Linked DNA regions of Caenorhabditis elegans. The protein of the gene in region 3 interacts with the protein of the main gene of each other region in a pairwise test. Each region holds a gene or a part of one and is shown on either strand. Other genes may lie near its edges. The genes, in order: bath-41, ZC239.15, cul-3 and C17F4.8.

Region 1 (4,268 bases), on a different chromosome or scaffold from region 3:
AGGTTCGAATCCTGCCCGTGTCAGAATTTTTTATTGAACTTAAATTGTTTTTGTTTTTAAAGTCGTTCACCTTATTTTGAACCAGAAGCTTTCGTGCAGCATTCAAATTTGGTCTCATCATGTATTTCAAAAGTGCCATTGATCCGGGATAAATCAAATGTCTTCCAAATGCGTGAATCGCCCAACTCGCCAGACCGCGAGTAACAACGCCGGCTTCAGCGACTTCTGGTTTTAAATGCCATAAATCCGAATTGGGGCGAGCTACAAAATCGGGAATCACGTCTAGAAGTTCAAAGTCGTACTTCTTTAGTGCTGCATGACTGTTGTCATCCTTCTGAAACGTAATTAATACATAAACATAAAGATTTCAACTGATACCTTGTTTTTTTCGTTTTCCCAAATATCTAAAAATCTCGAGTTTGTTTCGTCAAAGAGCCGACCGAATGTTCTTGCTCCATAACCGATTAGTGTTAAATATCCGGCATATTTCAGAATTGTCAGCATTCCAGCTGGTGTGAGCCAGTCTCGACTGTACAAGTAACATAATATTACGGGGCCAAAAGCTAATGAACTGGCAATGTAGTAAATTCCTAAAAACAAGTTTGGAAAAGGTTATGCTTCATAAAATAATATAACCTGCAGAAAACGATATGACGGTGTTTCCGAGATTTTCCAGTGTTGGTTCCTGTCGATTGGGTTGTCCAAAAATTCCATAAAGCCGTGGTCCCGAAATTTGCGTCCAGAAGGACGGCATTTCGACTAGTTGCTACTGAAATATGTAAATAGGGAAAACACAATTAACAAAAGACAATATAAAATGTAATGGACATATATACCATTTTTCAGAATTTTGATACAAAAAAAAACATCAATTGAGAAAAACAATTATATTAAATCAAACATGTACAAATAAGTTATTCCGTAATAAAAACTTCAAGTAGAAACTTCAGTTTTTTCATCATCCGTTTCTTCCTTCTCAACTTTATCTTTGTCTTCGACTTCTGTGTTTTGTTTTCCTTCAGATTCGTTATCAGATCCTGATCCTGAGTCTGAATCCGAATCATCTGATGAGCTCTCGTCAGATTCATTATTCTTTTTTGTCAATTTTCTCTTCTTAGCAGCAGCTTTTTGCCTTAATCGCTTTGCTCTCTTCTTCGCGGTTTTTGATTCTTCTTCCTTTTCAAGTTTTTCTACTTTGTGACGGTAGGCATCGTCCAATTCTTCTTTTTTTGCTACCGCATCAATGTAGTCAAGTCGATTTTGTTCTTTTCGTCGGTTGTTTCTGAAATTTGGATATGAAAAGACAAATTAAAAGTATAACTTTTCTAACCTGTAAATATGAAATTCAGCACTTCCGGCAGCAGCTGAAGAACCAACGACATTTCTCACGAATTCCAAAGGTTCTTTTGGCGCTCTCAGTGTCTCCTTTTTAATTGGAATTGGAGCGGGCTTGTCCTGCAATTATAACAAATAAAATTATTATATTTTTAGCTAAATTAAACTTACAATATTTTGTTGCAATCTTGCCAGTCTCATCCGAATTAAATCGGTTGCGGAATTTGCTCGGCGCTCTTCTTCTGTGATTGGATCATCTCGTGGCATAATGAGATTTTCTAGAAATTATCAAAAAAGAAATTAGTGCAAAAAAACCGGGAAATTTTATGTTTTATCCGCGAAAAATCGAAAAGATTGGCACGCTAAACTACACGCGCTGCGTCATCTCGGAGCGTCGTACTGCAGTTTCAAAATCCAATTTTTTTGTTTTGGCTTTCTTAGAAGCTACTTCTAGATAGGAAGTTGCTTATTATCAGTTAAAATATAAAGTTTATCAAATAATTATATTTACTTTTCATTATTCTATAGTTTCAAAGTCAACTTCAATTCATCATCAGCTTACAGAATGGAAATCAATAACGGGGCTCAACCAGAAAATGCGGCTGTTTCGATTCCGTCACGGTAAGTTCTGACGACCTCTTTTTCTCCAAAATTTTTAATTTTCAGCTCACCGTCTGGGAAGTCCGAAAAACGAAAAAGTCCAAGCATTGTTTCCGGCTGCCGTACGGTTATGAATGAGAGAAGCTTTACCAATTATTGGTCCGTTGAGCGCTTCACGGTACAATTAGAGCTTCACAATCCAGCAGAATTCATGCTGGCACCGTAAGCAAATATAATATGTTTAAGATTAATCAGTTTTACATTTTTCAGTAAATTTGGAGATGGGGATTATGAGTTTGTCATGAAACTATTTCCGAATGGGAAAGACGAAGAAACCGCCGGATATCTTTCACTTTTTCTGCTCATAAATAGTACGTAGAGAACTTTAAGTGTTTCATTTTTCGTTATTAAATGTTATTTACGAAGATTCTTTCCAGAATGCCCTAATCCTCGTCTCCGTTTCCGTGTCAGCTTTACAGTCGAAACAGCAGACGGTCCAAGAAGTTGCCATCTCAATAAGAATCTTGTTACGATCAATCGTAGTGGTATCGTGACTGCAAGCAAGTTCTTTTCATTAGACATTCTCAGGGTAAGTCGGATTGTTTTTTTTTCAACTTCAATTTTTTATTTTAATGCAGAGTGCCATGAATGTCTACATTCCTAACGATATTCTGACAATTGGATGTGAGCTCACAATTTTCGGTGAATGTACGACACAGATCTCAAGCCTGTTCAAGCCATATCAAAGAACTCACAGCGCTTCTTCAACATCTCGATCCCTATCGTCTCCCAATACAAAATGTTTGAAGATCGACGAATCGTCTGCGCATGGTTAGTGATTTTAACAGCTTGGAAATTTTCATTGTTTAATCACTTTCAGATGCATTCACAGAGTTTCTATCCACCGGAGAATTTAGCGACTTCATTATAGTCGCTTCGTGTGGTCGTGAATTCCCAACTCATATGTGCATCCTGGCAGCACGTTCTGAATACTTCAAAGTTCTCCTGAGAAATCATTCAACCAAGGAGTTTATGTCCAAGCGTCTCCAGTTTGATGACATTTCTGCTCGCACTCTTGACGTCTTGCTTCGCCATATGTACGCGTCCGCTGCTGGTCGAGTTGTGAAGCTCGAAGAGGATCAACTAACCGAGGACCTTATATCTGCAATGGATAGGTTGGATATTTTTACATTAAAACATTCTAGTATTGTTTTTTATCAGACTAATGATAAATTCATTGCGTGATGAAGTGGCTCGGCTCATCGGTTCAAAAGTGACTGTCGATAATGTGCTCACTCGTATTAGTATGGCTGCAGAGCTAAGACTTGATGATACCTATGACGTGCTTCTGGATTTCTTCTCGAATCATAAACATGAGTGCATGAAGTTAACTGTAAGTTAATGAGAGAATGAAATTACGTCGAACAAGCAACCAATTTCAGGCATGGGACGAACTTGAATCTGCAAAACCACCATTGGCCATCAAAATACTTCGAGATGCTTTCTCAAATACTGATTCACCTTCGACCACATCAATGGACAGCCGAATCATTGACCGCATCACTCTAACTTAATTGAATCTTTGTAAATCTCATGTCAAATTGATTATGTGTTTGCTCTTCAATCATATCTATTCATCCTTCTGTTTGCTGGTATTTTACCTTTTTCATCAGTTGATCTCAAATTTTTGAAACAAAACGCTTGAATTCAAGAATTCAATTTCGGGTGTAATTTTTATTTGGTTTTATTGATTTGATTTGTTTTATAAACACAACAATTTGATTCTAAAATAAAATTTTTGAAGCCGCTTTCTTTTTGTATCCTCCTTGGACTTTCTCCACAAATATTGGTAGTAGCTTCAGATCTTCCAACGATAAATTAGTAAAGGATAACAACGAACTCGAATGCCTATGAATGTAGTCTTTATCATCATGATAATCATTTGGCATTGTTTTCATTTCATCAACTTGAAAGTGCCTTTTTATGGCAAATATCCTAAATAAGATAAATCAATTTTTATTTGAAATTCAAGTCAACCTGCTCTTTTTGGATCTGTCCACTGAAATAGTAATGGGTGGAATTGACATACACGTTGTCAGCCATTCCTCCACATTTTCAGCATTTTCAGAACAATTTTCTTCTTCAAGATCATAGAATGTGTTTAGCGCAGAACGAGAGAATATCAGCACTGGTTTGTGTTGAATCTGAAACTTTGTGTTATATTGAATTACTGATATTATGTGGACGCAAAAAATCTGTGGAGCGCGCTTCTACATACGTACATTTGAAAACGATCCGCCTCCCAGTCATGGGTCTCGTTAGGTATTTGGGCA
Region 2 (3,745 bases), on a different chromosome or scaffold from region 3:
ACGTCTAGTTTAACAGTTTCACTCATTTTTGAAAAGTTTTTGAGAGGAAAAAGAGAGAAAAACGGAGTGAAATTGTGTTATCAGTGAGCCGATCGATTTTGAATTATCAGTGTTGCGAAATTTTGTTTTTTTTTTTACAAAAAAATCAAAAATGTTAAGAAATAAAAAAAAACTTCTGAATTGAAAATATTGTCAAAAAATCCACAAAATGAGTTAATTATCTCTTTCTCTGCTTCTCCAAATACAAATATTGACCAAACTCCCCAATCATTTTTTCTAATTTTTCCAAAAAAGTTGCATCCCGAATTATCCGTCCGCCTCGATTAATTCGAAGATTGTGCGGAAATTGACTATAATATCCATTCTCGGTAGATTTCCACTTTATCCTAGCTTTCCATTTTCGAGAAGGTTCGTCTTCACTCAATCGCTCTTAATCGATTACGGTAATCAGACCCTTTCACATTCAAACATAGTTTTGAATAATCCATCACATTTTATTAATGTCGGTCTTGAAGTTTTAAAAATAGTTCCGCCGATGTCTAGTTTAACAACCTTGTTCATATTTTAAAATAGTTACGGTTTGAGGCACAGATGCAACCAAACTCAAAAAATAAAAATAAGAATGTTTGTTATCAATCAGACTTTGAACTTATCCATGTGTTTTGTGTTTAAAGATAAAAAAACAAGCTTACTAAATTATAATTTTTTAAGCTTCTAAATTAGAAATATTGTCGAAAAATCCATAAAATAAGTTAATTATCTATTCCTCTGCTTCTTCAAATACTCATCAAACTCCCCGATCATTTTTTCCAATCGTTCCAAAAATGTTGCATCCCGTATTATCCGTCCACCTCGATTAATTCGAAGATTGTGTGGAAATTGACTGTAATATCCATTCTCAGTAGGTTTCCATTTTATCCTTGCTTTCCATTTGCGAGAAGGTTCGTCTTCACTCAATCGCTCTGAATTGACTATTTTATGAGGATAATGTACAAAAAACTTACGAAAATAAATATCGAACTGATGTGAATACTTTTCCATGAACTCGTAAAGATTAAAGTTATAGGGAATCGACATATCATTCCCAACCATGCAAAATTCAATTATGAGCATTGGCTGTAAAAATTATATGTAGAGCTGAAATTTTTTGAAGAAACTGGTTAATTATTTTATGATTGACAAACGCCATACAGTGTGGCCTTACTATTAGGACTACAGCTTGCACTGGCCTATAGTTTAAGCCACGTCCTAGCCAGGGACTGTGGCCGATAATACAGTCATGGATTGCTCCACTCTCCAATACAGACTGGGTGAACCTAGGGGATGAGTCTAAACTTGAAACCGCAACCTCTAGCTTTCTAGCAGCTACCACTACCGACTGAGATATTCCTATGAATTTGAAAAACTACATTATTTTATCGAAACTCACCTTCTGTTGAACAGCAAGAATTTGAAGAAATTGTTCATCGCTTTCAATAAATCGAAGTTTTATCTTTGGAGCTTCAACAAGCTCAATCTTTGAATTGCACAACTCAATGAGTCCGTCGAGCAAATAGAATTGAGCTTCTACTAGCAGCTCCTTCAGTTTCAATTCACAATTGGGTAGAACCACGTCGCCGTCTCGCATAAAGTTCAGTATCAAGTCGAAATTTTTCGGAGACCGATCAATAAAAATACTCCCAGATTCGTCAATTTTTAGCTGAAAATTTGAAAATTTATCGGGAAATTTTTGGAAAAATCGGACCCCAATGTCACTCTCCAACATAGTTTTGAAAAATCCATTGAACTTTGTTAATGTAGATCTTGAAGTTTTGAATATAGTTCCACCAACGTCCAATTTCACAGTTTCACTCATTTTCGAAGAGTTTTCTAGGGGAGAAAAAGAGAAAGATGGAGTAAAATTTTGTTATCAGTTATAAGATTATCGATCAGTACATATTTCAAAATGATTTTTTTTAACAAAAATTAAAATTTCCAACAACTAAAAAAGATAACATTTATTTCTTTTTTCAACAATAAAATAGCCTTTTAGTGCAGGCATGTAATACACAAACACTAAAACCAAAAAAATTATTGAAAAAACAAAAAACCATGATAAATCATATTTTTTAGTGTTTGCTCTTTGATCAATTTGGACCTTTTTTGTAGAATTAAGTTTATCACAGCACATTAAGACTAGACCATCCAACCAGTAGAATTGAGCTTCTGCCATCAATTCTCTCAGCTCTCTTTCATCTTCTGGCAGTGGCAGATCACCATCTCTCATTAAATTCAGAATCAATTCAAAGTGTTTCGGGGACCGATCTATGAAAATGCATCCGGTTTTTTCAATTTTCGGCTGGAAATTTTCACGTTTTTTTTTGGAAAAAAACAACGATTTTCATACCCCAGTTTTGCATTCCAACATAGTTTTGAAAAAGCTATGGAACTTTGTTAATGTATCTTTTGAAGTTTTGAATATAGTTCCGCCAACGTCTAGTTTAATAATTTCACTCATTTTTGGAGAGTTTTTGAAAAAAATTGTAGAGGAGAAAAAGAGGAAAGTGAAATGAAGGTTTGTTATCAGTGAGTCGATCGATTTGAAGTTATCAGTGTTTTCAATTGATTTTTTTCCATACTATAATAGGTTTACGTTCGGGTCTGTTCACATTTCTATGATAGCATAATACAATGAAAATTGCGTTTAATAGCCACTAAAATAGGTAGCATTTACTAGATTTTTCAACAATAAAATAGCTTTTTAGTGCAGGGATGTAATACACAAATACCAAAAAAATTAATGAAAAAACAAAAAAACGAGTATAACTATTATTTTTAGTTATTGGTTTTTGATTTTGAATCATTCGGAAGTTTATTATAGTGCTAAGTTTCACACCGCACTTATTGTACAGTCCAAACATCTGATAGTAATTTGCTTCCGCACACAACTCTCTCAATTCCTTCTCAGTTTCGGGCAACCACAGATTCCCATCTCTCATTAAGTTCAGAATTAACTCGAAGTGTTTCGGGGAACGATCAATAAAAATGCATCCGGATTTTTCGAGTTTCGGCTGAAAATGTTCAGGTTTTTGGAGAAATATAGTCAGCAACATTATACCGCAATATCACTTTCAAACATAGTTTTAAAAAAGCTATCGAGTTTCGTTAATGTATCTTTTGAAGTTTTGAATATAGTTCCACCAACGTCTAGTTTAATAATTTCGCACATTTTTTGGAGAGTTTTTAAAAAAATTGTGGGGAAGAGAAATGAAGAAAGTGAGATGAAGTTTTGTTATCAGTAAGTCTATCGATTTGCAATTAACAGCCATTTTTATATTTTTAACAAATTTTAGGAAATAGTGGCGGTGGAGTTTTTTTCAAGACATGTATAGAAAACTTTCCGATTTCCGCTTTTGCAAATTGTGCAAAATTTCTGAAGGAATTTTTATAAGAAAAAACGGATGACACATATTTTTGACATTTTTTCTCGTTTTCAGCAAGAATTCTAATATATTTTTTCTCATTTTTCATGTAAGATACGTGTAATTTTGCAGTTACAACTGAAATTTCAAAATTTCCAATAAAAAATGCAATACCTCAGTCGAAATTTTTCGGCAATTGAAGTTTTTGGCAGCTTCACAAAAAATTGAAAAATTTCCCATATTTTTTGAAACCAGCAGTTTCCGAAGATTCCAATTGCCAAAAATTTTCAAAACACTACAGTTTAAAATTGGGGTTATAACTTCATTTTTTTTTGTTTTTATAA
Region 3 (7,895 bases):
TTCGAAGAATGCGTATTACGAAACGTATACGCGCAAAATATCTCATAGCGAAAACTACAGTAATTTTTTAAATTACTACTGTAGCGCTTGTGTCGATTTATGGGCTCGATTAAAATTGAGCAAAAAATTTAGAAAATACTATGCAGGCGCGGAGGAAAATAAAATATCGATATCACTATTCGGAAACAAATTCATTTCAAAAATCGAGCACGTAAATCGACACAAGCGCTACAGTAGCAATTTTTAAAAAAATTACTGTAGTTTTCGCTACGAGATATTTTGCGCGTCAAATTTGCTGCGCAATACGCATTCTCAGAATTTTGCGTTACCGTAATATACACGGTGAAGAACACGAGCCACCAGGAGTACGGTAGCCCTGACTTTAATTGCAAAAAAAGAGAAAACAGTGAAAAAAATCTGTATATAATTGCTATTATTTTTAAATTTCGCAAAAAAAATTAGAAATGACCACATTAATTTTGAATTCCTGCGCGAATGAATTCTATTTTTTGCGTATTCCTGCAATATTTATTGGATTTTCTCTTAGCCTAAAGCCTAAAACGCAGAAATTTCGAAATAATAAATTGACCATTTTTGAATTATTGGTGCAAAATTGAGAAAAATTGTGAAAAATTATACCATTTTTTGAACAATTACGCTCAGCTTACTAATTGTAAGATTACTCAGATTTATGGCAAAACACGATTTTTACGCCTTCAAAAAATCCTAGCTTTTGGCAAAACTTACAGGAAATTAAAAAATTCAGAATAAAAAGTAATAAGATCCAGGAAGCCATGACTCGAATCATTGTAGTTGAACTGTATGAATGATTTGATCCCAGCTTCTTCCGCCACCCTAAACACCCCATAATTTCCGTTTTCCGCTTGAATAGGAAATGTTGTATATTTCTGTACTCCTTCCTGAAGTATTAAAACTCGTTTTCGTTTATTAAACTGTTTCTTTTTTCAGATCACTCAACTTCCTCTTCTCAACGTCAACTTCGACTCGGCTAATTATAATTTTATTTATTTTTCTGATTTTTTTAAAATTCTTGTTTTTTCTCAAATTTCCAATTTCAACATCATCTTATTTTCAAATAAAAATATTTATTTTGCGACTTTCTATTAATTTGAAACAGCGAATATTGTTAATTTATTAAGTAAATTTAATCATTTTAGATCGTTTTCAACCGATTTTCGAGGGCTTTCCACAAATTTTGTACTTTTAAATAAATTTAAAGTTTATTCTACCGAAAACACTATTTATTTTTCCACGTGGACACCGCCAATTTTCTCTGAAAATTCTAAAATTCTGGTTGAAAATTAATTTTTAAAGCTTCCTCACGAGAAAAGCGCCAACGCACGAGGAGCGCGCCAGCAAACCCGCATTGACGCAGTCTCGGTGCACTTCTGAACTCCAAAACACACTGTTCCCGTTCGATTTTTCTCGCATTTTTCATAGTTTTTTTCGAAATTGAAGCTTTTAAAGGTGTTTTAGACTTGATTCGAAGTGAAATATTGATTGATTGAGCCGGAAAATAGGCAAAAAGTTCTGGAAAAACGCGCGAAATTAAAATTCCAGTGACTTTCGAGATAATGATATTGATTTTTCCGAGTAATTAAGTTGATATCCAGCTATTTATTTTTGCGTGACATTCTAATTACCGGATTTTCAAAGTTTTTTCGAAAAAAAAACAAAGCAAAATCGATTTATTTCGAATTACTCGCGACTTCTCAACTTTGAAGCTGAAAATAGTTAGTTTTGTTTTTTCTGTTATCAGTGCGCGCTTTTTCTGCAATAATAACATTCCGCAGTACGATTTTTTCAAATTTTTTGCTTTTCGAGAACGGAAAATCAAGTTTATTTCAGTGTGCACGAAAAACGAGCGAGATTCTGACTTGACCAGTTCGTTCGGAATCGACTCATTTTTGGAGATGAGCGGACGCTCCGGTAATGGTGGACAACAAAAAATGAGAATTCGCCCATTTATGGTAGGTTTACACACACAGATTTTAGTCCTCTATCAAGCCTGTCTCCTTGTTTTGCGTGAAAAATCGATTTTTTTAAAACGAAACTTGGAATGTTACGGCCGAATTATCCGCGATATCCGAACAATCCGTCAATTTCTGATGAGAAACTGATATTTTTCCACTGGCAACTGTATGCCACGTGGCAATCATTTTCAGTTTGCGTGCCACGTGCCAAAACTCGTCATTTCTAAAGAACAAAAGCAAAATATTTTTTTTTCATATAACAAAATCGATTCTGAGGGATTTCTAATGGTCAATAATTGTTTTTGACCGTTTAACCAGGAAAAAACGAAGAGAAAAACTGTAAAATCGTATTTCCGCCGTTTTTTATCGATTTTCTATTTTTTTTCCTATTTGCTTGGACTAGCCATTAGAAACATGAAATTTGTTATAAACGGCAATGTTCTCGCAAAAATGACCTCACATAAGAGTTTTTCGCGTTTTTTTCACGAAAAAAAAACGCATTTTTGATCGAAATTTACCGAATTTCATCCCAAAAAAGTTCCAAAATTTTTGCCAAATTTTGCTAAAATCTGATATTTCGTAAACTTTTCTAGCTGGAAAATCCCTGAGTTTAGCAAATTTTGGCGCTTTTCCGAAAATTTTGAATTCTTATAATGAAATTTTGGAAATTTTTTAATAGTCGGGCCAGTTTTTGGTCATTTAAGGAAAATGCCCAAAATTTAGAAAAGCCGCAAAAAAAAAACGGAGAAAAATGATTTTTTTTCAGGCCACAATAGACGAGCAATATGTGACACAGACATGGGAACTTTTGAAGCGTGCCATACAGGAAATCCAACGCAAAAACAATTCGGGCTTGAGTTTCGAGGAGCTCTACCGCAACGCATATACAATGGTGCTCCACAAGCACGGAGAACGTCTCTATAATGGCCTGAAAGACGTGATTCAGGATCATATGGCGTCGGTTCGAATTCGAATTATCGAATCAATGAATTCTGGAAGCTTCCTGGAGACTGTCGCCGAATCGTGGGCTGATCACACTGTCGCCATGGTCATGATTCGTGATATTCTGATGTATATGGATCGGATCTACGTGGCACAGAATAATCACGTCCTGCCGGTCTATAATCTGGGTCTCGACGCGTATCGGACGGAAATTCTGCGGCAAAACGGGATTGGCGACCGAATTCGCGATGCTCTTCTGGAGCTTATCAAATTGGATCGAAAATCGAATCAAATCAATTGGCACGGAATAAAAAACGCGTGTGATATGCTCATCTCGCTAGGAATCGATAGCCGGACGGTTTATGAGGACGAATTTGAGAGGCCACTTCTGAAGGAGACTAGTGATTACTATCGGGATGTGTGCAAGAATTGGCTTTCTGGCGACAATGACGCGTGCTTCTATCTGGCACAGGTGGAGATTGCGATGCACGACGAGGCGAGCCGAGCGTCGAGATATCTTGACAAAATGACAGAGGCCAAAATCCTGCAGGTGATGGATGATGTGATGGTTGCTGAGCATATTCAGACGATTGTCTACATGCAGAATGGTGGTGTGAAGTTTATGTTGGAGCACAAGAAGATTGAGGATTTGACTCGCATTTTCCGTATTTTCAAACGTATCGGAGATTCGGTGACAGTACCGGGTGGTGGATTGAAGGCGCTGCTTAAGGCGGTTAGCGAGTGAGTTTTTCGCGCGATTTTTTTTTAGAAATTGAATTATTTGGTGATTACAGCCGTGGGAGGAACGTTGTAAAATTAAAATTTGAACAATTTTCACCACAAAAAGGCACTAGCATGGTTATCTGTCGATTTACGAAGCCTGTGTACTCTTCGAGGGGAAATTTTGTTTTTTTACCCCAGAAATTACGGGTTTTTGCTTTAATGCGGAGATTTCAATGATTTTATTTTGTAAAAAATTGAAAATTTCACCCAAAATGGCTCCATGTGTCGGTTTAACCAGCTTTTGTGCTCCTCGAAAATTTATGTATTTGATGGTTAAATCTAGACTTTACTTTGGCACTTTTTTTGAAGAGGATTTTACAGTGTTTAGCTAAAATGCTTAATCGTTCAAATTATTTCTAATTTTAATGGTAAAACACCACCAATGCAAGCATTTCAGCCAGAAACCGTAAAAAATAATCCACGTGGAGTACACGAGTCGCGTAAATCTACACATGGCCGTGTTAGTAGAGGTTTCGCGGCCACGTTTTCGCTTCAAGAAATTTAAATTCCAGCCAATTTACTGTATTTTTATTTATCAAACTCTACTTTTCTGACCTAAACCCGTGTCACTCGCCCGCAGCAATCTGTTTATTTGTTCTGTTGTCCATTACGTCGAACACCGCCGCTTCTCCTTAAAACGCCTCAGCTGTTGGTGGTTTTAGTTTTTAGATAACACCAACCCTAACAGTTGAACACGGAGCATTCAGAAAACTAGAGCAGAATTGGGGGTTGCTCAGCAAGAAAAGTTAACTTTTTTTTCCAGATATCTCAACGAAACCGGCTCGAACATTGTGAAAAATGAGGATCTGCTCAAAAACCCCGTCAATTTTGTCAACGAATTGCTCCAGCTCAAAGACTACTTCTCCAGTCTGCTCACCACTGCGTTTGCCGACGATCGTGACTTTAAGAATCGCTTCCAGCATGATTTCGAGACGTTCCTCAACTCGAATCGCCAATCGCCGGAATTTGTGGCCCTCTACATGGACGATATGCTGCGAAGCGGTCTGAAATGTGTGTCGGACGCCGAAATGGACAATAAGCTCGACAATGTGATGATCTTGTTCCGCTATCTACAGGAGAAGGATGTATTCGAGAAGTATTTCAAGCAATACCTCGCCAAACGTCTCTTGCTCGACAAATCGTGCTCCGACGATGTGGAGAAGGCTCTGCTGGCAAAGCTGAAGACAGAGTGTGGTTGCCAGTTTACTCAGAAGCTTGAGAATATGTTCAGAGACAAGGAGCTTTGGCTGACACTGGCCACAAGCTTCAGAGACTGGCGAGAGGCTCAGCCGACCAAAATGAGCATTGACATATCGCTTAGAGTTTTGACGGCGGGCGTTTGGCCGACGGTTCAGTGTAATCCGGTTGTGTTGCCGCAAGAGTTGTCGGTTGCCTATGAGGTAATTCGAATTTTCAATTGGTTTTGCAATTTTTGAGCTTGATGTTTCACAAAACCCGCAAAAATGTCTGCTTACACGCAGGGTTGTCGTTTTTTGCCAAAAGATGGATTTTTTATACAGAAAAATGTGCATTTTAGAGACAATATATATTTTTTTCGGTTTTTCCAATCAAAAAACAACAAGTATGTTTTTTTTTCAAAATTTAATTTCCAGTCGCGATGAGATGAATTCAAAAAAAAAACGTTTCTTCTAGTTTTTCTGACCAAATACCTAGAAATCCATTTTTCTGCCAGAAAAGCCAAAAAAGATTCCGAATATCTATTATTTTTGCTTGAAATCGCTTTTCACACGCGCACCAGAGACATTCTCATTGGACCGCCACACTTGTGTCGATTTACGAGATTTCTCATGAAATTTTCAGGCCAATTTCAATTTTTCAATAAGTATGTTTCATTTTTGTGGAAAAACTGAAATCTCCGTAAATCGACACAACACGGTGCGCTCCAATGAGAATATCTCTGGCGCGAGTTTAAAAATATTATTGGGTGCGATTAAACGTGCTTTCAAGCTAAAATATAAAACCAGGGCAATTTTTAAAAAAATATTTTTTCACAAAGATTTTTGGAATTTCTTCAATTTCCCCTCGTTTTTCAGATGTTCACACAATACTACACTGAAAAGCACACTGGCCGTAAGCTGACAATCAACACACTTCTCGGAAACGCTGACGTCAAAGCCACATTCTATCCACCACCAAAAGCATCCATGTCAAACGAGGAAAATGGTCCTGGACCGTCGAGCAGTGGAGAGTCGATGAAAGAACGAAAACCGGAGCACAAGATTCTCCAGGTCAATACGCATCAGATGATCATTCTCCTTCAGTTCAACCATCACAATCGGATCTCATGTCAGCAGCTGATGGATGAGCTTAAGATTCCCGAGCGAGAGTTGAAGAGGAATTTGCAGTCGCTGGCTCTCGGAAAAGCGTCGCAGCGGATTTTGGTCAGAAAGAATAAGGGAAAAGATGCGATAGGTATGAAAAGGAAATTATAGTTTTTCGAATTTTTTTGAAAAAAATTGATAATTTGAAAAAAAAATCAATTTCCAATCGCTGCAGCCAACTTTCCCATGGGACATGGGAAAGTTGGCAAAGTTGGGTTTTTTTTGCTAACTAGGGAATGGTGTTACCCCTGCAATCGCTAGGAGGACAAACAAAGTGAAAATGGAAGATCAGATCTATGGCTACAAGAATCAGTTTTTGGAATCTGCTTAACTCGGTCCCAAAGCTGAAATTTTCGGTCTTAAAAAGTAGTCCTTTTTTTGCTCAAAATGCCGTTTTTCGTGTGTAGAAGTGGCTACATAAAAGTTTGGCACTGCAGCCGCCGTTCGAATGGCCGATTGGTGAACTCTTGTGCTCATTAATCTAAAGGTCACGGGTTCGTTCCCCACTAGGTATTAATTTTTTTTTGAATTTTTCCTCTAGCATGAAATATGCACAAAAACACGGTTTCTTCCGTTTTTTGGTAACTTCGGAATAAATTTTTTGGTTCCTGGGAATCATAAAAGTAATTTGGAAACTTTTTGGAAGTTTTCTTTTTTTGATAAATTTTCACTTTTCTCCCACCTGATGTATGCACATTTTTTTCTTCAAAAATAATTTTTCAAAATTTTTTCAAAAAGTGTTTGGTTTGAAAGAGCAGCATTAGTTTGGATATTTCTACGATTTTGGAGGATCAAATGTCATTTTTAGGAGAAAACCACTGTTGTTTTCTCTAGACTTTTTCACGAAAAGGACCTACTTTCAAAGACTTCCAGCTCCGTTGACGAGTAAAATAAAAAAGAGTTGTCAACTGCAAAGTTATTTCAAAAGTACCAATGAACAAATTGTCAGTTGAAGTTACTCTGCTAAATTTTATGGGTAGAGAGATATAGCTAATCGAAGTGAAGCTTTAACTTACTTAATTACTAATGTCCATATCTCTCTACCCATAAAATTTAGCAGAGTAACTTCAACTGACAATTTGTTTATTGGTACTTTTAAAATAACTTTGCAGTTGACAACTCTTTTTTATTTTACTCGTCAACGGAGCTGGAAGTCTTTGAAAGTAGGTCCTTTTCGTGAAAAAGTCTAGAGAAAACAACAGTGGTTTTCTCCTAAAAATGACATTTGATCCTCCAAAATCGTAGAAATATCCAAACTAATGCTGCTCTTTCAAACCAAACACTTTTTGAAAAAATTTTGAAAAATTATTTTTGAAGAAAAAAATGTGCATACATCAGGTGGGAGAAAAGTGAAAATTTATCAAAAAAAGAAAACTTCCAAAAAGTTTCCAAATTACTTTTATGATTCCCAGGAACCAAAAAATTTATTCCGAAGTTACCAAAAAACGGAAGAAACCGTGTTTTTGTGCATATTTCATGCTAGAGGAAAAATTCAAAAAAAAATTAATACCTAGTGGGGAACGAACCCGTGACCTTTAGATTAATGAGCACAAGAGTTCACCAATCGGCCATTCGAACGGCGGCTGCAGTGCCAAACTTTTATGTAGCCACTTCTACACACGAAAAACGGCATTTTGAGCAAAAAAAGGACTACTTTTTAAGACCGAAAATTTCAGCTTTGGGACCGAGTTAAGCAGATTCCAAAAACTGATTCTTGTAGCCATAGATCTGATCTTCCATTTTCACTTTGTTTTGTCCTCCTAGCGATTGCAGGGGTAACACCATTCCCTAGTAAAATTTGCCTTTTTCACGTTTTTGAACTGTTTCATACGGA
Region 4 (6,265 bases), on a different chromosome or scaffold from region 3:
AAGACATTATTTGTATCGTTTTACACGCCGTTACTTTTTTTGATGATTCACACCCATATTATTTGATTTGGAGTGTATTTTTCATTGTAAGACATATTAAGATTTCACTAAATCAGACGAATTAACTACTGATTTTGATTTTTTCAGACCATATTTTATACCATGCACATTCTATTGTTCCTGTCCGCACTTCTTTACATTCCAATACTTATAAGTATTCGAAAACTTTCTCATCTAGCGTCATCACAGCTTAATAACCCCCAGAGGTACATTTTCTGGCAGACGATGATACTGTTTGTGTTCAAGTCTGTGAGTTTGGCAATTAAATGAACAAAATTTTGCAAATGTCTTTTTATTTTTTCAGATGTCCTTTTCAATGGTTGTACTTCAAATGCAGGATATTGAGGACATATTTCTGAATGTGATTTCAGAATCTATACTTGAATCGGCAACGATCCCCTTATTAATAGTAATTTCGTATCTAGGATGTAACAAACGGAATGTGACAGTTTTGCTGTCTTCATTTAAGCTGAAACAATTTCTAAGAACCATTTTAGGTTTAAAAAATACTGTTGTTGAACCCCAGCAATATGTTGCAAGCATTCATTCTACAGTTTAAATATATTACATGAACAGTTTCTGCATTTTTCTCCAATCTTTTTATTTCGGTTTTGCTCCCGTTTGGGTGGATGAAAACTGTCGAGGGCCGACGCAGAGACAGTAACAGTCTAAGAACGCTGTCCGTTCTCCGTTACATCATACACACAACTGCAGTCTGCACCAGTGCTGTGCGGCTCTCGGCTCTCGGCGCGAGCCGAGAGCCGACATTTTGGGGTTTTTTCGGCTCTCGGCGGGAGCCGGGAGCCGAAAAAAATTGAACTCGGCTCTCGCAGAGAGCCGAGAGCCGAAAATTTTTTTTTTCGTTTTTCGACGCGCGCCGATTTTTTTAGTCGACTTTTTAGATTTTTGTTTGGGGGTGTTCAGTGTGCCAGCGAAAGTCAATTAGTCATTGAAACTTAAACAAAATGTTGTTTTTATCTATCAATGTTCTATTAATGAACAAGGAATTTGTCAAAACTGATGCAGCTGGGACTGAATCCGACGTTATAAACTTGACGGAGGAACCAACAATGAATTTATGGACAATTTTTATTATTGGTTACATTTGTTTAAGTAATTTATTTTCTGTTGAGATACATTGGTGCTATTGTTCAAAAAAATTTGAGTTAAAGTTAACTTGAAAGAGTCTTCGAAAACCGATACCGAAAAATAAAACAGTCGGTACTCGGCTCTCGGCGTGAGCCGAGAGCCGACATTTTTGGGCTTTTTCGGCTCTCGGCTCCCGCCGAGAGCCGAAAAAAAATTTAGACTCGGCTCTCGGTGCGAGCCGAAAGCCGACTTTTTTCAAGAGCCGCACAGCACTGGTCTGCACAGTCATTACTATCATATTTTGGAAACAGGACACTCACACAGTCAGTCTCTATGCCTGTGTCTCTTACTAAATAATGCTCTTTTTATTGATTAGCAGAGACTATATCGGGACCGGACCACCACTCTTTCTCTTTATCCAGCCACACAGGTTGATTCATTTTTTGCATGCCTTTTTTTTTAGAAAATTAATTGTTTCATAGTTTCTTATTAGCATTTTAATTGTCAACATTGTTTTTTTGCAAACTTTTAAACAATACAATTAAACATAAAAGTTATACATATGTATATGTTAATAAATTTTATTCAATACATTTCTTCAGGAAGTGGAAAATGTGCTCAAAAGATAACATCGTCAAGTTAAACGTTGGTGGTACTGTTTTTCAAACTTCCAAGTCTACTCTCACCATGATCGACGGATTCTTTAAGATGATGCTCGAGAGTGACATTCCGGTTAGTTTGTACAACTGAGTTCTCCGAGCAAGGCAAACGGACACTGAATCCTAAGCCTAAGCCTAACCTCATAAAAAGTTACAAGAAGGTTTTTCCTTGCGCTTGGAGCGCAAAAGAAAAGAAAAAGAGCTATTTAGACTTAGGAACAAACCCAATTTGAATAAAACATTGGAAATCCCAATCCAACAAGCCTAAGGGCCCCAAAAACATACTAGGATGCCCAACTTGAATAAAATATAGGAAATCCTTATGACACACTTAAGCCTAAGAGCCCGAAAAAAAAAATGGGATGGCCAACTGGAATAAAATATTGGAAATCCTTATGACACACTTAAGCCTAAGAGCCCGAAAAAAAAAATGGGATGGCCAACTGGAATAAAATATTGGAAATCCTTATGACACACCGGCGGTATGGCGCGGCTTAAGCCTAAATAGCCACTTTTATCAAAATACATTTGAGCCCGACTCGAGTTTTACAATAACTTCTCAGTTAACTCGAAAGCACTCTGTGTATATTTTTCAGTAATCTAAATAAAGACTATAGATTACTAAGAAACTTGGAAATTTTGTAATATTTGAAGGGATGCGAGCAATCTCTACATATTTGCGATCAACCTTTGGAGATTATTTTTCTTAGTAAAGTTATAGAATGCCAATATTCAAATTCCTCTCCCATGGAAAGAAAAGTTCAAATTCTGTACCTGCGTATATTTTTTTATAACTCCGTTCTTCCCACAAGAAAGGCCTTCTTCCCATGAGATAGGAATTCAAGTATCGGCAGCATTCATAGGTACAGAATTTGAACCTTTCTTCACATGAGATAGGAATTTTATATCGATCAAATTAACCCTCAAGTAAAGTGAGACCTTTGATGAATATAATCACTCTGATGATGTATTTAATTCCGATGATTAATCCATTTTTCTTTCTCTCACATTTATGAACTAAAAATGATTACTAAATAAAGGCGTGATAGTCTAAGGTGTGATAACATATGATATTTCTTTTTAAATTTGAATATAGTTTTTTTTTAATTTTTGCTAAAGAACGAATAGTTTACAACCGCCTCGCTCAAATGTATTTTGATAAAAGTGGCTATTTAGGCTTAAGCCGCGCCATACCGCCGGTGTGTCATAAGGATTTCCAATATTTTATTCCAGTTGGGCATCCCATTTTTTTTTTCGGGCTCTTAGGCTTAAGTGTGTCATAAGTATTTCCTATATTTTATTCAAGTTGGGCATCCTAGTATGTTTTTGGGGCCCTTAGGCTTGTTGGATTGGGATTTCCAATGTTTTATTCAAATTGGGTTTGTTCCTAAGTCTAAATAGCTCTTTTTCTTTTCTTTTGCGCTCCAAGCGCAAGGAAAAACCTTCTTGTAACTTTTTATGAGGGTTTCATATATTTTATTAAAATCGGGGCGAAGCCCTGATTTTAAATCCATGTTGTTTTTTTTTGTCTTCCACTATCCCTGCAAATAGGAAAGAGAATGTGTCTTTCTGATAAAGTAAAAATCATCATAAAATTTTGAAAACTGAGAGCAGGAGGTAATATCTGGATATATTGGGTCGTAAATGTGTGTCTCTCTGTGGGTGGGGTGGCGATGTGTTGGCAGCCAACCCTTCAACGAACTGTATCTCCCGCCTGTATCTCCCTTCAAAGTGAGAATTGGGTTACAAAAATTTGAGAGAATATGAAAAAAATTGTGAGGATTTCTAACATACTAATTTTGAAACACCAGACCAAACCACTTTTTCTGGGCAAGAGGCAGAAAATTCATTTTTGGAAAAAATTTCAAACTGGCACAAAAATTTTTGCAAATTGTTGATAGATTCCATTTTTTGTCAATATTGTTCATTGAACACAAAAAATAAAACAAAGATTCATCGCAAAATGAGTGAAAAATCGCAAAAATTCGAAAAAGTCAGTGCTGAAAAACTCGATTTTTTGGCGGTCCTGAAAAAAATTTTCACTAAAATTTTTTTAAAACTTAGTTTTTCGGATTAAGCGTCAAATTCTGGGTCTACTGAAAAAAACAGAATCAAAATTGATTTAAGATTGAGTGAGTAATAAACGCTCAAAGTTGAATAATTACAAATCAAAAACGGCAGTAACTTTGTTCTCGGTCGATTATCTCGGTGATGTATGACTCGATTAAAAAAATTTTTTTTTTGACTCGCTTTAAAAATTTCTCAGCTTTCATTATTTTTTTTTAAAACCAAAATATCTCAAACGACCGCAAAGTTATGAGAAGGAAAAGTTAAGGTTTTTGGAAAAAAAAATGAAAACTGTTTTTTCTGCCTCGATTTTCAAAATGAAAAAATCACTTTTTTGGAATTTTTTTTACTTTTCTATAGAGCAAAAATATTTTTCTGCCAGATTTTCACCTCAAAACCAAAGATTTCTCAAAGACAACAGCGCACGAAGCGGTGGTTTAAAAAAAACGCGAAAAAAACACACCGAAAAGGGAGGGGGGAGGTCGGAAATGCAAATTTTGACTTTGAAGCTCTCTAAAAGAGCTCACAGTTGATGGATCTGGAAGATTTGTATGTTTTTAAACGCACCTCGTCGAGTACTATAAACTGCTAAAAAATCTCGTGAAAATCTCAAAAACGAATTTTCCTGCAAAAAAAAAGAGGCAAAAAATGAGAAAAAAAAAGTGATTTTTGGAGGATACTCGAAAATACTCTTTATATCTCGGCTCAAAGAGCTCCAATCTTTCTGAAATAAAGCATACAGAGGTGGGGCAAGCTTCTTGAAGAGACAGCAAAAAACCGCATCATAATCCATCCACCCACCGTCAAGTTACACGCGCGTTTCCATTTACCACGAAAAACAGGGAATAAAAAAATTTAGACGCCCGCACCCGGGCTCGAACTTTTTTCAGATTTACAAGCTTAATATCTCGGCTCCTGTAAATCGAAATTGGCTCAAAATTCACAAGAAACCTTATTCTGCTTCCCTCCTGCTGTCATTAAATTTTCGTGAGCTTAGGGAGAAAACTGACAAAACGCCAAACTTTCAATTTTTAAAAAATAGTTGAGGGGCATTTCGAAAACACTTTAAGCTCCATAACTCGGCGAGTTTTGATGGAATCAATTTGAAATTTTACACGAAAGCTTCTTAGTGGCCAATACGCCGCTAACGCTCCCCCACTGACGCCAATTCTAAGCCTAGGCCTAAGCAAAAACCTTGAAAATAAAATAAACAATTATTACAAGTTTCAGCTCCAGAAAGACGATTCCAACTGCATCTTCATCGACCGCTCTCCGAAACATTTCGACATAATCCTGAACTTTCTGAGAGATGGCGACGTGGATCTTCCTGAGCAAGAAAAAGAGATCAACGAAGTCAAGAGAGAAGCTCAGTTCTACCTGTTGGAGGAGTTGGTCGATCTGTGTCATAGAAAAATCAATACAAAAATTCGTGTACTAATAAGTGGCACTGAAAAAATAGAGTTCTATACAAAAAACGACAAGGTATGCTTAAATCTCGAAATTCAAAATAAAATAATTATTTTCAGCCACGATTGTTGATAAAGTATCCTGAAAAGAATCTAGATGAATCGCCCATTTTGGACATCGACTGGGGGAGTTTAATGGAAAAGTATAGAGATCAATTTCACATTGCTTTCGGTAAGTTTTCAAAGTTGACAATAATAATTTAAGAAAAACATTCAGCACCACAAAACAACTGTTCCTTGAGCGCAAATTGTCAATTCAAGTCAGTCAAGTCAAGTATCTTTCTGAGTATTGGGGATGTATCAAATGATTGTGAGCAATTTATTGATAATTTTTTAAAGAAACATTGTGGATTCTAATTAATTTTTTTAAATCCTAATTGTGCCAATCAATAAATCAATAAAGTTATTATGTTTTTCTTGTCTGAAAATTTGGAAATATATTTGAAAAACTTTCAGGATTCAACTACCAGAAGTGTACCTGAAAAATTACATTTTTCTGTGCAAAATCTAATTTTTTTCAGGAAAAAAACATTTAAAAATTATTTATGATAAAGCTTCACATTTTACATACTGAGATTACGAGAGTATTTTATATATGAGCTTTACATATTGTTCTTTGAATAAACGGGTGATAAAACTCGTTATGAGTCTGACACATTTTCGAAAACAAGAAAAAGCCCATAGTTACTTCCTTCATTACTCTCCGTTCAAATGCTTTCCCTCAGTTATCCGGATGTATATTCCAAAATTCTATATGTATTAGCTGGATTTTCAGTTCCAATTCACATTTTCGGAGGTTATTGTATCCTATTAAAAACTCCTAAAATTATGAAATCCGTTAAGTGGGCTCTGTTCAACCTTCACTTCTGGTCTTCCTTCTTAGACATTTCCATTAGCCTGCTCGCCCAGCCTTTCCTATGTGCT

Evidence for each region.
Region 1: the proteins of cul-3 (region 3) and bath-41 interact in a two-hybrid assay, tested with the Caenorhabditis elegans proteins (one large-scale study listed by BioGRID).
Region 2: the proteins of cul-3 (region 3) and ZC239.15 interact in a two-hybrid assay, tested with the Caenorhabditis elegans proteins (one large-scale study listed by BioGRID).
Region 4: the proteins of cul-3 (region 3) and C17F4.8 interact in a two-hybrid assay, tested with the Caenorhabditis elegans proteins (one large-scale study listed by BioGRID).

The regions. Positions count from the first base shown.
Region 1 is NC_003281.10:6,719,890-6,724,157, reverse strand, and holds bath-41 (BTB and MATH domain-containing protein 41), read left to right. Parts: upstream 1-1,899; 5' UTR 1,900-1,900; coding exon 1,901-1,956; intron 1,957-2,001; coding exon 2,002-2,157; intron 2,158-2,205; coding exon 2,206-2,306; intron 2,307-2,372; coding exon 2,373-2,524; intron 2,525-2,573; coding exon 2,574-2,766; intron 2,767-2,815; coding exon 2,816-3,110; intron 3,111-3,156; coding exon 3,157-3,328; intron 3,329-3,377; coding exon 3,378-3,509; 3' UTR 3,510-3,719; downstream 3,720-4,268. Other genes in the region: F37A4.1 (alpha/beta hydrolase), read right to left, coding at 71-334, 379-590, 637-754; F37A4.2 (PRKRIP1 family protein), read right to left, coding at 934-1,282, 1,331-1,455, 1,507-1,602; bus-22 (uncharacterized protein), read right to left, coding at 3,720-3,930, 3,973-4,139. UniProt on the Caenorhabditis elegans protein: Probable substrate-specific adapter of an E3 ubiquitin-protein ligase complex which mediates the ubiquitination and subsequent proteasomal degradation of target proteins.
Region 2 is NC_003280.10:3,222,789-3,226,533, forward strand, and holds ZC239.15 (BTB domain-containing protein), read right to left. Parts: upstream 1,944-3,745; 5' UTR 1,856-1,943; coding exon 1,745-1,855; intron 1,700-1,744; coding exon 1,430-1,699; intron 1,117-1,429; coding exon 1,005-1,116; intron 963-1,004; coding exon 757-962; 3' UTR 545-756; downstream 1-544. Other genes in the region: ZC239.13 (BTB domain-containing protein), read right to left, coding at 1-26; ZC239.16 (BTB domain-containing protein), read right to left, coding at 1,982-2,338, 2,387-2,497; ZC239.17 (Potassium channel tetramerization-type BTB domain-containing protein), read right to left, coding at 2,694-3,092.
Region 3 is NC_003283.11:175,710-183,604, forward strand, and holds the start of cul-3 (Cullin-3), read left to right. Parts: upstream 1-1,869; 5' UTR 1,870-1,934; coding exon 1,935-1,991; intron 1,992-2,760; coding exon 2,761-3,677; intron 3,678-4,482; coding exon 4,483-5,119; intron 5,120-5,773; coding exon 5,774-6,152; intron 6,153-7,895. UniProt on the Caenorhabditis elegans protein: Probable core component of multiple cullin-RING-based BCB (BTB-CUL3-BTB) E3 ubiquitin-protein ligase complexes which mediate the ubiquitination and subsequent proteasomal degradation of target proteins.
Region 4 is NC_003280.10:3,230,310-3,236,574, reverse strand, and holds C17F4.8 (BTB domain-containing protein), read left to right. Parts: upstream 1-1,749; 5' UTR 1,750-1,761; coding exon 1,762-1,881; intron 1,882-5,105; coding exon 5,106-5,357; intron 5,358-5,401; coding exon 5,402-5,513; intron 5,514-5,558; coding exon 5,559-5,698; 3' UTR 5,699-5,758; downstream 5,759-6,265. Other genes in the region: srz-67 (Serpentine Receptor, class Z), read left to right, coding at 1-86, 148-309, 365-619; srh-297 (Serpentine Receptor, class H), read left to right, coding at 6,053-6,265.